Linked DNA regions of Lonchura striata. The main gene of each other region encodes a partner of the protein of the gene in region 2 in a complex. Links are inferred from orthologs where the notes say so. Each region holds a gene or a part of one and is shown on either strand. Other genes may lie near its edges.

Region 1 (6,592 bases), on a different chromosome or scaffold from region 2:
CCAGGTATGGAGCTTCCAGGCCAATCATCCACCCATTGATACACCTGCCAACACCAGACCCTTGAAACAGTTTCTGCCATCCTACTGCACTTGAGACAAAAGCAGATACTGCTCCTTCATTATTCATCTAATTACAGCTGCCCTGCACCCGACAGGAGTTTATCAAGATCTGAGCCTGTCTCAGGTTGCAAGATGTGGCTGGGGGTGTGATTCTATCCCCATCTGTCAGAGATGGGGCAGTTCTGGGTTTTTTTTGGGCAGTTTTTTCTTTATCTCTCCCACAGCCAATCCTCCCTCCAGGAGATCTCTGCTGTCCATGGCCACTGAGTGTCCCTGCATGGCTGAGAAAATTCCATCATCCATGGGAGATGCTGTGCCCAGGGGAGGAGCCAAGCATTCCTACCTGGATCCAATCTGACCTGGGAACAGCACAGCAGCCTTTGCCCCCTGCATTCCCAGAGGAGCAGCTTCCATCCCCCTGCATTCCCAGAGGAGCAGCTTCCTTCCCCCTGCATTCCCAGAGGAGCAGCTTTCTTCCCCTGCATTCCCAGAGGAGCAGCTTTCTTCCCCCTGCATTCCCAGAGGAGCAGCTTCCTTCCCCCTGCATTCCCAGAGGAGCCCAGGCCCATCTCCCCCAGCCCTGGAGCTCCAGAGGAAAACTCCCCCCTTGTGCAGGATCCTGCTCCAGCAGAAGCACAGCTGGCACTGCAGGAGGGCTGAGCCCCCCTGGGATGGGGCTGAGCCACCTCCCTGACACACAGGGGACAGGGCTGCTCTGACTCTGGCAGTGGTTTGTTTTTGTTTGTTTGTACTATTATATTTGTATTTTTAATTTTCCTAATAAAGAACTGTTATTCCTATTCCTATATCTTGACCTGAGAACCTCTTAATTTCAAAATTATAATAATCCAGAGACAGGGAGTTTACAATTTCCATTTCAAGGAAGGCTTCCTTAGCAGACACCTGGCTTTTAAACCAAGACAGAGCCTGCAAACAAACCCCCAACTCAAACCCCACGACCTGGCCGAGGTGCAACCCCTCACACCACGCACGCAGAACAGGCAGGACCTGCCCCATCTCTGACCCCCCTAAATCCCAAGCTGCATTCCTCCCTCCCAGCCCCTCCTGGCTACCTCGTGGGTCTGGTCCCTGCCCTTCTTCAGCCGGATGTGGGCCAGGCGGTTCAGCTTCTTCAGGGTCATGAAGTGCACACAGCTCTGCACGCGCCGCTCGTCGATCTCCGAGGCCTGCGGGGTGGGAAGCAGGAGAAATGGCTGGCACCACCTCTGCAGGGAATTCCTGCCACAAAAGGGGTTCCACGCTTTGCTAGGGAGCCACATTTATGTCACTGGGGCTTCTGAGGGAGCCTCCTGCTGCCAGATCACAGGAGGGGGGTCCAGGCTCCTTAGAGAATCACTCCAGCCTTTTTTCCTCAGCAGCAGGAACAGAGCTGATCCAGCCTGAAGCACTTGACGTGTCCCAGGAGCCTGGCACAAGGGAGGCTATTCCAGAGCTCAATCTCTGCCCCAGGAACCCAAGACAAGGGAAACTTCCATTTCCAGAGCTCAATTCCTGCCCCAGGAGCCTGGCAAAGGGAGGCTGCTCCATTTCCAGAGCACAATTCCTGCCCCAGCAGCCTTGGACAAGGGAGGCTGCTCCATTTCCAGAGCTCAGTTCTTGCCCCAGCAGCCTGGCAAAGGGAGGCTGCTCCATTTCCCTGACTCTGCCCAGGAGACATCACAGCTCCTGCTGCCTTTCCTGTGGGATTAATGGGGAAACACCAAATGACAGACACGTTACACCACACGTGGAGGCCTCTCCTCACATTTTCCTTGATGCCCCGGCTCTTCAGCTCCTGGATCTCTGCCATGAGCCTCTGGAGCTCCTGGCAGGTCTCCCTGTAGAGCTCGTAGTCCTTGATGGGGTCACGCAGATCCACCTCACTCTCCTCGCTGTAGTACCTGACATCCTGCCAAGGCAAGGACACCTCCCGTGGCTCATCCCATCCCTCCCTCTGGAAAGGGCTCTGGGAGACCAGCTGCCATTTCTGCTGTACCCACGAGTCCCATGGCTTTACACAGGGAAAAGACTCAGTTCCAACAATCCCCAACCCACCAGTCACTAAAACACCTGGCAAGTTCAGGCTGTCTTTTATTATTATAGATTTGAATTGACACCGTTGGGGTGTCTGTGCAGGGCCAGGAGTTGGACTGGAGGATCCCTGTGAATCCTTTCCAACTCAGGATATTCCATGATCTACATGACACAGAGGACAAACCAGAAAGGTGATTCCTCCTCCTCCTCCTCCTCCACCCCACTCCCCACTCTGGCTGATCCTACACTATCCTGCTGCTCACGGGAGGGTTTGAAGGCACCATGCAAATCCCTGAGGGATCTTCCAGCTTTGTGCTCACTCTCCAGAGGAGTGTTTGTGTCTCCTGAAAGAGATGGAAGCAGGTTTAGGAATTCACAGCGGGAGTTTAGGAGGCATTGGAAGCTGGGGGAAACTGGATCTCACAATTCACAGAATTCCAGAATGCTTTGGGTGGGAAGGGAGGACTTTAAAGCCCATCCAGTCCCGTGGACAGGGACACCTTCCACTACCCCAGTTTTTCTCCAAGCCCCATCCAACCTGGCCTTGGACACTGCCAGGATGAGGCTGCCACAGCTTCTCTGGGCATTGTTTTCCAGCAGGGAAAGCCAGGCCAGCAGAGAGGGGTGTGGGCAGGTCCCGGGGCAGGTCTGTACCTGGTCCGTGTCGCCCTTGCCCCTCTTGCCCTCGGCTGGGACCCCGTCCGTGCGGATCACCTTGGGCTTCCTCTTCTTGCTGGACTCGGAGGACATGGTGCTGCCGGCAGGGCTGGGGAGGGGGCACAGGGTCAGTCTGTGGGGGCCAAACCTGCCTGGCCCAGGGCTCTCCCGGGCTCCCCCCGCCAGCCCCGCCTGGGCTCTGCAGCATCCCCTGTGCCTCCCTCCATCCTGCACCTCCCAGACCTTCCCAGCCCCCCGAGCAGCACAGCGAGCCCGGGGTCTGCTCCACCACAGCCCCCCGAGCAGCACAGCCCCTCCGGGGTCTGCTCCACCACAGCCCCCAGAGCAGCACAGCCAGCCTGGGGTCTCTGCCCCACCACAGCCCTCCAGAGCAGCACAGCGAGCCCGGGGTGTGCTCCACCACAGCCCCCCGAGCAGCACAGCCCCTCCGGGGTCTGCTCCACCACAGCCCCCCAGAGCAGCACAGCCAGCCTGGGGTCTCTGCCCCACCACAGCCCTCCAGAGCAGCACAGCGAGCCCGGGGTCTGCTCCACCACAACCCCCTGAGCAGCACAAGCCACCCGGGGGTCTCTGCTCCACCACAGTCACCCCAGAGCAGCACAGAGAGCCCGGGGTCTGCCCCACCACAGGCCCCCGAGCAGCACAGAGAGCCCGGGGTCTGCTCCACCACAGCCCCCCCGGACCCCCGCAGTGCCACTGAGCTCCCTGGGGACCCCGGCCCGAGCGCTCAGCCCCTCCCCGAGCCCCCGGGCTGCAGCACACGGGATTGCGGCTTCTGCCTCCCCAGAGCCTCCAGACCCCTCACAGAGCCGGGACCCTTCGCTCCTCCAGATCACCGCAGAGCCCCGCACATCCATCCCGGGGCGTCCGTTGCTCCGAGCCCCCCAGAGCCGGGACCCTCCATCTCTGCAGAGCCCCAGAGCCCAGCGCACCGGGCCCAGGACCCCTCACTCCTCCGGAGCCGCCCCGGGCCCTCACGCCGGGACTCTCTCTCTGAGCCCGAGGCCTCAGCGCTCCGCCAGCACGGCGCCTTCGCCCCTCCAGACCGGGACCCTCCACTTGCACTGAGCCCCTAGCACACCGGGGCACGGACCCGCCCCTCCGCAGCTTCCCCAGCCCAAGGGAACGGGGCCGTTCCCTCCATCCCCGCCCGGGCTCCCGCCTCACCCCCGGCTCTCACCGCGGCCTCGGCTCCGCGCCGCCCGGAAGTGACGTCACGGTACCACAGCGCGCGGCGCGGGGCGGCTGCCGCAGCGCCCCCTAGCGGCCTGGAGGACCCGCCGCGCACACCAGGGAGCGTGGCCTCGGCGGGTGGGCGTGGCCTGTCCAAAGGGGCGTGGTCACCATGTGAGACCCCACACACGCACAAACCGGGGGCACTGGTGGGACTGGGGGGGTTCCTGGTGCAGAAGGGCACCCACAGGAATGGGGGAGCCTGGATGGGGTCCCAGAAGCACTGATGGGTGTCCATGGGTTTGGGATAGGGTCCCTGATGGCACCCCTTGGTTGGAGGGGGCATGGGATGGGGTCCCTGATGGCACCCCTTGGTTGGGGGGGCATGGGATGGGGTCCCTGATGGCACCCCTTGGTTTGGGGGGCATGGGATGGGGTCCCTGATGGCACCCCTTGGTTGGGGAGCCATGGGATGGGGTCCCTGATGGCACCCCTTGGTTGGGGGGGCATGGGATGGGGTCCCTGATGGCACCCCGTGGTTGGGGAGCCATGGGATGGGGTCCCTGATGGCACCCCGTGGTTGGGGAGCCATGGGATGGGGTCCCCGATGGCACCCCTTGGTTTGGGGGGCATGGGATGGGGTCCCCGATGGCACCCCGTGGTTGGGGGGGCATGGGACGGGGTCCCTGATGGCACCCCGTGGTTGGGGGGGCATGGGATGGGGTCCCTGATGGCACTGGGGGTACCCATGGGCTTGGGATGGGATCCCCAGTGGGGTAGGAGGCACCCAGGGGCTTGGGAGGGGCACAGGAAGGAGTCATTGGTGGTGTGGGAGGATCCATGGGCTTGGGGGGGCTGGGGACGGGGTCCCCAGTGGCACTGGGGGGATCCCTGGGTTTGGAATAATGTGAGAAAAGGTCCCCAGTGGCACTGGGGGGATCCATGGGCTTGGAGGGTCATGGGATGGCATCCACTTTAGCACTGGGGGGTTTCAGGGGCTTGGGATGAGGTCCCCAATGGCCCTGGGGGTGTCCATGGGCTGGGCTGGGCCTTGGCTTGGGGGATCCAGTGGTGCTGGGGGCTCCAGGAGCTTGTGGGGTGCATTGCATGGGGTCCCTGGTGGTGCTGGCAGTATCCATGACCTTGTGGGGTGCATGGGATGGGGTCCCTGGTGGCACTGGGGTTTTGGGGGGGTCCCTCAGTGTATCCCAGCACCCATGGGTGGAGGTCTTTTGGCACAGGAAGCACCCATGTCATGGGGCAGGGCAGCCCCCCTGACACTAGCCTGGGGGGTCACACCAAGCACCCCCAGTCCCGCCCTCCCCACCCCGAGAGGGGCCTGGGCTTTAGCATATTAAATATTTAATTGGCAGCAAAGGCACCCGCTGGGCTCATCAGGAGCAATTAAGCCCCCCCCACCTGCACAGCCCCCCCAGCAGCACCACCCTGGGCACCCACCACAGCACGGGGGGCTCCCACCTTCCCCTCCCTGCCCTCCAGGGCACCCCAAAACGGGGTGGAGGAGAGAGCTGGGAGCCAGAGGGAGCAAAGCCCCCCAGTCCTTCCCCTGCAGGGCCGGGGCACGGGCAGGGGGGCCCTGGGGGTGCAGGGAGCCCCCCTGGCACGGCCCCAAATCACTGCAGGGGGGAGATCTTCAGGGGAATCATTATCCGGGATTCCATGGTCCGGATCAGCGGGACTGGGGGAGGAAAGGAGACACAGGTGAGGTTAGGGGGTCCCCAGCACGGGCAGGGGGTCCCCAGAGCGGCTGGGGTCCCACTCACCGGTGTAATAAACGTTCTCATCCCAGCCCCTCTTCCTCCAGGCTGCATTCCTGGTCTCCTCCCGGGACTGCAGATCCCTGTAGGCTGTGGGGAGAGCACAGGGGGGCACCCTGAGCCCCCCCAGCATAGCCCCCGGGCCGGGGGTCCCCCGGGGATGACCCCCCCTTACCCCAGAGGTGGTGCACCACGTAGAGCTCCCCGATCTGGGAGAAGAACCCCCCGACTGCCTCCTGGTTCTCCTGGCGGTACTTAATGGCCCGAGCCCTGCACGGAGCAGAGGACACATGGGGGGCTGCCCCAAGGGTCCCCCCTTCTCCAGAGGGAGCCTCTCCCCCCACCCTGGACCCCTCCACGCTGGGGAAGCAGCGCCTTACCAGTTGTTGCCCCACTCGATCATGGTCCCTGGCTGGGAACAGGGGAGGAAAACCAGTCAGAGCCCCCCTGCGTGCCCAGCTTGGAGTCTCCTCATCCAGGAAGGGGGAATTCGGGGGGCAGCCCACCAAAAGTGGGGTACACCAGCCTGAAGACCCCCCCCTGCAACGAGGCACAGGCTGATCCCCACCTTCAGCTTGTAGGTCCTGAGCTCGTAGATGTTTGGTCCCTGGCGGGGCTGGGGCTCATTCCAGAAGCTGAATTCCAGGAGCAGCTGGTTCCTGCGGGACAGCAGCATCCGGCTCCTCTCCTTGCGGAAGTCCAGGTACTCCTGGGGACAGCCCCAGCCGGGGGTTTCGGGGTGGGGGCGACCGGGGCTGTCGGGCACGGGGCTGTGGCCCCCACCCCAGCGGTACCTGGTTCTGCCTCAGCTTGTTCATGCAGTCCATGAGCGCCGGGTACCCGCCCGAGAAGCGCCACAGGTGCACTGC
Region 2 (6,592 bases):
CCATGGGAAGCTCTGGGAGAGGCTCTGGGAGTCCTGGGGGGTTTTTGAAGTGCTCTCAGAATTGAACCACATAGAAGGCAATGCTCTCCCGCTCTAGGTGCTTTTGCCTGCAAGCAATATTGGATGAATGAGAATCTTACAGCATTGTGTGATATTTGCAGGCTGGAGTTTGAAGCTCGCAACCAGAAGAAAGAAGCAAAAGAGCTGGCTGTGCTGGAGGCCATGAGAAGGTTGGAGGAGGAGAAACACTAGGCTGCAGAGTGGGGATGTGTGAGCCACAGAGTGCTGCAGCTTCACCCTCTGGTAGAGCAACTGCTCTTCAGGAAGAGCCCCCTGAAGGGGGGCAGCACTGCTGGCACGCAGGATGTGCTGTCCTACCTTTTGCTGTCCTAGCTCCTCCTGCACTAATTATGCAGACATAACGAGTTGGGATTCCGTTGCCTAGTTTTATCTCCGTTAATCAGTCCCTGTCCCTTTTCCCAGGAGGAGATTTGACAAAAAGGTTTTAATTATAACTAATGTTTTAACATGTTGATGTGCTTTTACCTTCTGCCATTTCTGGCTCTTAGTAGGAGGGAATGGAGGAGCTGCCCATGCCCCCTTGCCCTTCCAGACTCTGCATTGCAGAGCAGCCTCCTGGGCAGTGGTGTGGGTGGCTGGACAGTCAGTGAGAGCAGCCTCGGGGACAAGACAGGGCTCACGTTGTTCCTCCTGTAGCTTTTCCTCAGAAACAAGGGGCTGGCTGCCAGAGGTGGTGCTGGGCTCTGGGGTTTACTGTACTGCCTCTTCTCAGCTCCCATCCCTGCACACTGCAACCCAGAGCTACTCTGGGTTGAGCTGGATAAAGGCAAATCCTTTGCTGCCCCAGTGACAGGCTGCAGGTGGCAGCTGATGCTGGGTCCAGGCATTTCTCCACACAAAGCATAGGGACCCTGGGGCCTTTTCCCAAAGGCTCTCCCATTTGCAAGGCAGCAGGACCTGATGCCTTGTGTGGACTGTGCTTAGAGCCCCACTTGCTTCTGCTGTCAGAGCCCACCTTGTGCCTGATGGATTACCTGAGGGCAGGGCCTGGCCAGGTGAAGTTTTAGGGTTGTTTTCTGATTGCTGACACTCAGCTTGCCTGCCTCTAAGGGGAGGTGCAGGGCTGGGAGAATGGTCCTGAGCTGTAAGCCCCTTTTGCCTCTTACATTCCAGGATACTATGGTGGGTATCCTTAGCAGCTCACTGCACTGTGCCAGATGGTCCTTCCAGGCTGTGTCTGGTGTCCTCTTTCTTGTAAACTTTTGTTGCTGATCATTAATAAAATGTTGAAGAGTTGTGCATTGGTCTTTTGGGGGCTTGAACCCAGGAAGGGGGCATAGGGAGCACATGCTGAAACCCCAGTACTGGTACTGAGAGAGAGCGCCACACTTGCACCTCATCCATGCAGCTCATGGCTCCCTCCCATGGGCACTGCAGGAGTTTGTCCTGAACAAACAGGGCTGGGCAGAGGCTGTGCCAGGTCTCCTGCAGCACAAAGGGCAGCAGGGTCTTTCTGTCTGAGGGCAGACAGGGACAGGAACCCTGTGACTTCAGTCACCTGCTCTCCTGCACAGCCCCTTGACCCCTGCTGTCCCTGCATTGTGCCCTGCAGCTCCTACAGGCCTTGGGCCATCCTCAGCACCACAGGAGGGAGGGGAGGGCTCAGCAGCCCAGAGCTCCCCAGATCTGGGTGGATTCCCCATCTCTAGCAAGCGCAGAGAAGACAAAGCCATCCCGAGCATGTTTATTGTCACACCATAGCCACCAGCACCGGCTCAGGCTCAGGCAGCCATGCACTCCGTGGGGTCCAAGGACAGAGGCGAGCCTGCCTTACACCCAAGACATCCTGGCAGCGCCACGGCCACATCTGTCACACACAGCACGTGCGGGAGGCACCGTCACAGGCTGCGGGCCTGGGCCAGCGCAACACTGGCTAGCACAGAGGGCGAGCGCTAGCCTGCCTGCCACGGTGGGTACCCTGCTCCGGCTGCTGCAGAGCCCCGCGGGGTTGAGGGGGCTCCGGAACCGTGCCCAGCGTCCCAGCCCGAGCCCCTCGGGCGGCCTCGGTACTCACCGCGGTGCGGAGCCCCGAGGCGAGAGGGCGGAGCTGGGCAGCAGCACAGCGAGATCGGGTTCGGCAGAGCCGTCGGTGCCGGAGAGGCTGGTGTTGGGCGAGCGGCACAGGTGGGAGAGCAGCCCCAGGTCCTGCCCACCGAGCAGTGGCGGGGCGGCACAGGACGAGCAGCACCAGCCCCAGCCCTGGCCACCGAGCAGCGCGCACGGTGCCGGCGCGGCCGTAGCACCTGGGGCCGCCGCCTTTACAGCCGCAGGTCCCGGTACGCCCACCCCCGCCTCAGAGGCGTGGCTCGGCTGCCGGGGCGGCGGAGCCCGCGGGGCGCCCGGCGGGGTCACTTCTCGCCCCCCCCGCTCCGTGCACCGACCCGAGCGCGGGGCACCAGACACAGACACGGACACGCAACTGGCGTCGCACATTTATTGAGTGGGGTCGAGCCGGCCGGGGGTGGGCCACGGCCCGACCCCGTTCCCGGGGCCGTCCTCACTCGCGGAACTTCCACTCCTGGCGGCACATGGGGCAGTGCTGCTGCACCTGCTGCGAGTTCAGCCACTTGAGGATGCAGTGCATGTGGAAGCAGTGCGAACACTGCCCCCACACCAGCGGGCAGTCGTCGCCGGGAACCTTACCTGCGGCACGAACACACCGTCAGCCCCGCCCCGTGCGCAGTGCCCGGTGTCGGTGCCGCTCCCGCACTCACAGTCGGGGCAGCAGCCGTTGAAGGCCATCCGGCAGATGCCGCAGTTCTCGTCGTTCGCCACCCACAGCCAGGACGCGACTCCGTGCCAGCTCCGCACGCGCACCCGCATCTCCCGGCCGGTCCCGCCGCGGCCCCGCCGGAAGCGCTCCCGCCCCGCGGCGCTTCGCGCGCCCGCCGCGCCTCAGCCCCGCCTCTTCCGCTTCCGGCGCGGGCGCAGCGCGGCCGGAAGTGCGGGAGGGAGCGGTGCCGCCATCATGGCCGACAAGATGGACATGTCCCTGGACGACATCATTAAGCTCAACCGGAGCCAGCGTGGGGCCAACCGGGGCGGCCGGGGCGGCCGGGGCCGCGGCGGCACCGCACGCGGGGGCGGGCCCGGCCGGGGCGGCGTTGGCGGCGGGCGCGCGGGCGGCGGCCCCGTGCGGAACCGGCCGGTGATGGCCCGGGGCGGCGGCAGGAACCGGCCCGCGCCCTACAGCCGGGTACGGATCGGGCAGGCGGAGCTTAGGCCGCGGCGGTGCGGCGGGCTGGGGTGGAGGGTCCGCGCGGGGCGGGGGCGCGGACGCGGGCGGCCCTTTGTCCACTCCCGGCGCGGCTGCGGCGCCTTGGCGCCGGTCAGCGAGGTCCCGGTCTCATTGCAGCCGAAGCAGCTCCCCGAGAAGTGGCAGCACGACCTGTTCGACAGCGGCTTCGGGGCGGGGGCCGGCGTGGAGACCGGCGGAAAACTGCTCGTCTCCAACCTGGACTTCGGCGTTTCGGATGCGGACATCCAGGTGCGGCTCGGGGAGGCGCCGCGGCGAGCGGGGCCTCATTCGCTGGCCCAGGTCGGGTACCCGCGGGAACCCCGCCGGCCCTGCTCCGGCTTGTGCTCGGGGCCGAGGATTCCCGGGTGAATCCCTGCTGATGGGGTTGGTACTAGGTATGCCTACTTTGCGGCGATCGTGGTGGTCTCCAGGGGGCTGGAAAATTCGGTTTATAGGTGTTTTGTAAGTGACTTCCCGGTGTACAGGGAGCGATGCTGTGACTGTGCTGGATCACGCTGTGGTTGGAGGATGCACTGTGAACTCTGAGCTCCTGCTCTGCACAGCTGTAGCTGTCTGTAATGGTGCTGTGGGGCCTGCTGCTTTGTCAGACCACACTCTGGTGGGTGTCAGGGGTTCCCAAGGATGCACCTATCAGTGTAACCAGGTAGTTATTTGTCATAGGAACAGCTCTCCTGTGCTGGTGCTTTGGTGTCCTGTCCCCCACCTGTCGTGTCCATGCCCCGTTTGGGCTGGTCAGAGCCCACAGTGCCTGCAATCGGGTGCTTGGGGCATCTGCCTCAGGGCTGGAGGCTGAGGGGTGTCACAGGGTCATGAGTGGGCTGTGAGCTGTGCAGGAATTGAGGGCCATGTATCCCTGGTGGAGGCTCCTGCACCACAGAGTGTTGCCATCACCCTGGCCTCTGGCTCTTGTGCCCTCACCAGGGAAAACCAAAACAGTGGTGTTAGACTTTCCTCATCAGTTCATTCATTCAGCCTCTCCACACACCCATCTGGCTGCGTGTGGAGAACTGGAAAGCAGCTCTGTCAAGTCACCTGCTCACTGGGTAGTGTGCTGCACTCCACCTCTTTTCCTCGTATAAGTTCAGACTGAGTTTAAATAAGTTTTTGTTTGTTGCAGTGAGGTGGCAGTGTGTAAAACTCAGCCCCTGTGCCTTGTGTGCAGCCAGGACTCACCTTCCTGCTGCTGCACAAGCCCCCACTGGGGGCTGAATCAACGGCTTTGGCCCCATGTCCCATAATTTAGCATTGCCTCAGATGTGGGATTGGTTTTGTTCCTGTGCTGATGCCTCTTTATGTGCCAAGAGAGGCCGAAGGTACTCTGATCACAAATGAGCTGTGCAGCATTGCTCTTTGTGTCCTCTGAGGCAGAAGCAGCAGATCCTGGGCTCTGGGCAGAGCTGAGACAGCCTTGCCTGCCACATTCTGTCCAGAAAGCATCTGCCAGGTGTCCTTTGTAGTTCTCCAGCAGCCCTGCTGAGAGCCCTGTTGTGACTTGGGAGCAGGTTGACACAGGCAGTGCAGTAACCTTGTTGGCTTCCCAGATATAGTGCCTGAGAAACAAAATTGGTGGCTCTGTTGCTGCCTCTTTATTTCCAACTTTTGTGGCAGCAAAGGACACACCTCAGCAGAGGACTTTGTTGGTCTCCATTTTTAGGATATGTTTCTAATGGGCATAAGTCTAGCACAGTAAAAGTGTCATAGTCTCGTGGATCCCTGCAATCACATGGTCATTCTCCTCTGTGAGAAAGGTGTCTGGGGTCTGCGGTATTTTCAGTTGTTGCCACTTTGACTCACCTTCAACAAGGACCCCCAGTTCCCCTGGGAAAAAAAAACAGGTCAGCATCCCTTGAATCTGCTTCACTGGCTGTAATGTGCCTCCTACAGGACGTGAGCGTGGAGTCCTGCCTGGTTTTGCCACTTGTGACAGCTCCCTGAAATCTTGCTGATGGGCTGTGCTCCCCTGTGCCACTGGGTGTTTTTCCAGGCTGTCTGAGGTGGTGGGACAAGCTCTGGTGCTGAGCGTGTCTGTGTGGGGCGCTGCAGTGCTTGCAGCATTGATGGATGGGCTGCTCCTTTCCCTGTCATTCTCAGGAGCTCTTTGCGGAGTTTGGGACCTTGAAGAAGGCAGCTGTGCACTATGACAGATCTGGCCGCAGCCTAGGAACGGCAGATGTGCATTTTGAGAGGAAGGCTGATGCGCTGAAGGCCATGAAGCAGTACAATGGGGTCCCCTTGGACGGTGAGGCTGCGTGGCCCAGCCCCACGACTTTTTCTGTGGCTGGAGCAGAGCACATCCGTGTCCCTCCCCTCGTGCCCGTTTCTCCCACGCCCTCGTCCCTCCCGCCCGTCCGTGCGGCTCCTGCCCCGCGCGTGCCCCGTGGGCTCACGGACGCTCTCCCTCCTCCAGGGCGCCCCATGAACATCCAGCTGGTGACGTCACAGATCGACACGCAGCGGAGACCAGCACAGAGGTGGGGGAGCCCCTGCCCAAGCAGTGCAGGGGAATGTGCAGGAACCCTCCCTGCTGGGGAACGTGGGTCCTGTTTGGCTTCGCTGAAGGCACTAAAACAGTTGTTTTAAAACTTACAGTGTAAACAGAGGTGGCATGACCAGAAACCGTGGGGTCTCGGGGGGATTTGGAGGTGGAGGCAACAGGCGAGGGACTCGTGGCGGGAACAGAGGGAGAGGCAGAGGAGCTGGAAGAACTTCCAAACAGCAGCTCTCTGCAGAAGAACTAGATGCACAGCTGGATGCTTACAATGCCAGGGTAAGTGCTGCTTGGGCATGGTAATGGGCTCCCTACAGCATCTCATCCTGGGAAGCACTGGCAGTCTGGAGCTGGCAGAAAAGGGAAAGCATTTTCCAGGTCCTTGGACTGAAGCAGTCTCTCTCTAAAGCTGAACTGTGCCTTGGCTTGGGTCTGAGCTTCCCTTTCCAGAGCACTTTGTCACCTGTTCCTGATGGCTGAGAAACAGGCTCTGTTCTTGCCAGGCTCCATAGCTGGAACAGCCACTATGAGCAGCAGCTGCAGAACAAAACTCGCACAGCTGATAGGTTGCAGGAATGGGAAGACGAAGGAAAATCTCATGTGAAAGAACTGTGTGGTGTGCTGCTGGGGAAAGGGTGTAATGTTTGTGGCAGAAATGAGCCCCAGCCTGGGGAGCCATGGGCAGGTTGCAGCTGTACCTGGAACTTGCTCAGCATATGCTGTAGCTGGGCCAGGATCCCAACAAAGCTGAGGCCACATGGACA

What was found.
Region 1: ALYREF (region 2) and THOC5 share a complex: the UniProt entries of both Homo sapiens proteins name them as parts of the transcription/export (TREX) complex. The link is inferred for Lonchura striata from reciprocal best matches to the Homo sapiens genes ALYREF and THOC5.

What each region holds. Positions count from the first base shown.
Region 1 is NC_134620.1:2,955,150-2,961,741, reverse strand, and holds the start of THOC5 (THO complex subunit 5), read right to left. Parts: upstream 4,042-6,592; 5' UTR 3,953-4,041; exon of another isoform or gene 3,940-3,952; intron 2,861-3,939; 5' UTR 2,845-2,860; coding exon 2,749-2,844; intron 2,439-2,748; coding exon 2,358-2,438; intron 1,970-2,357; coding exon 1,826-1,969; intron 1,248-1,825; coding exon 1,134-1,247; intron 1-1,133. Other genes in the region: NIPSNAP1 (protein NipSnap homolog 1), read right to left, coding at 5,580-5,644, 5,730-5,813, 5,899-5,993, 6,104-6,135, 6,292-6,432, 6,518-6,588. UniProt on the Homo sapiens protein: Component of the THO subcomplex of the TREX complex which is thought to couple mRNA transcription, processing and nuclear export, and which specifically associates with spliced mRNA and not with unspliced pre-mRNA.
Region 2 is NC_134621.1:11,936,100-11,942,691, reverse strand, and holds the start of ALYREF (THO complex subunit 4), read left to right. Parts: upstream 1-3,022; 5' UTR 3,023-3,049; coding exon 3,050-3,277; intron 3,278-3,436; coding exon 3,437-3,568; intron 3,569-5,431; coding exon 5,432-5,579; intron 5,580-5,747; coding exon 5,748-5,811; intron 5,812-5,929; coding exon 5,930-6,107; intron 6,108-6,592. Other genes in the region: PCYT2 (ethanolamine-phosphate cytidylyltransferase), read left to right, coding at 162-252; ANAPC11 (anaphase-promoting complex subunit 11), read right to left, coding at 2,579-2,724, 2,796-2,904. UniProt on the Homo sapiens protein: Functions as an mRNA export adapter; component of the transcription/export (TREX) complex which is thought to couple mRNA transcription, processing and nuclear export, and specifically associates with spliced mRNA and not with unspliced pre-mRNA.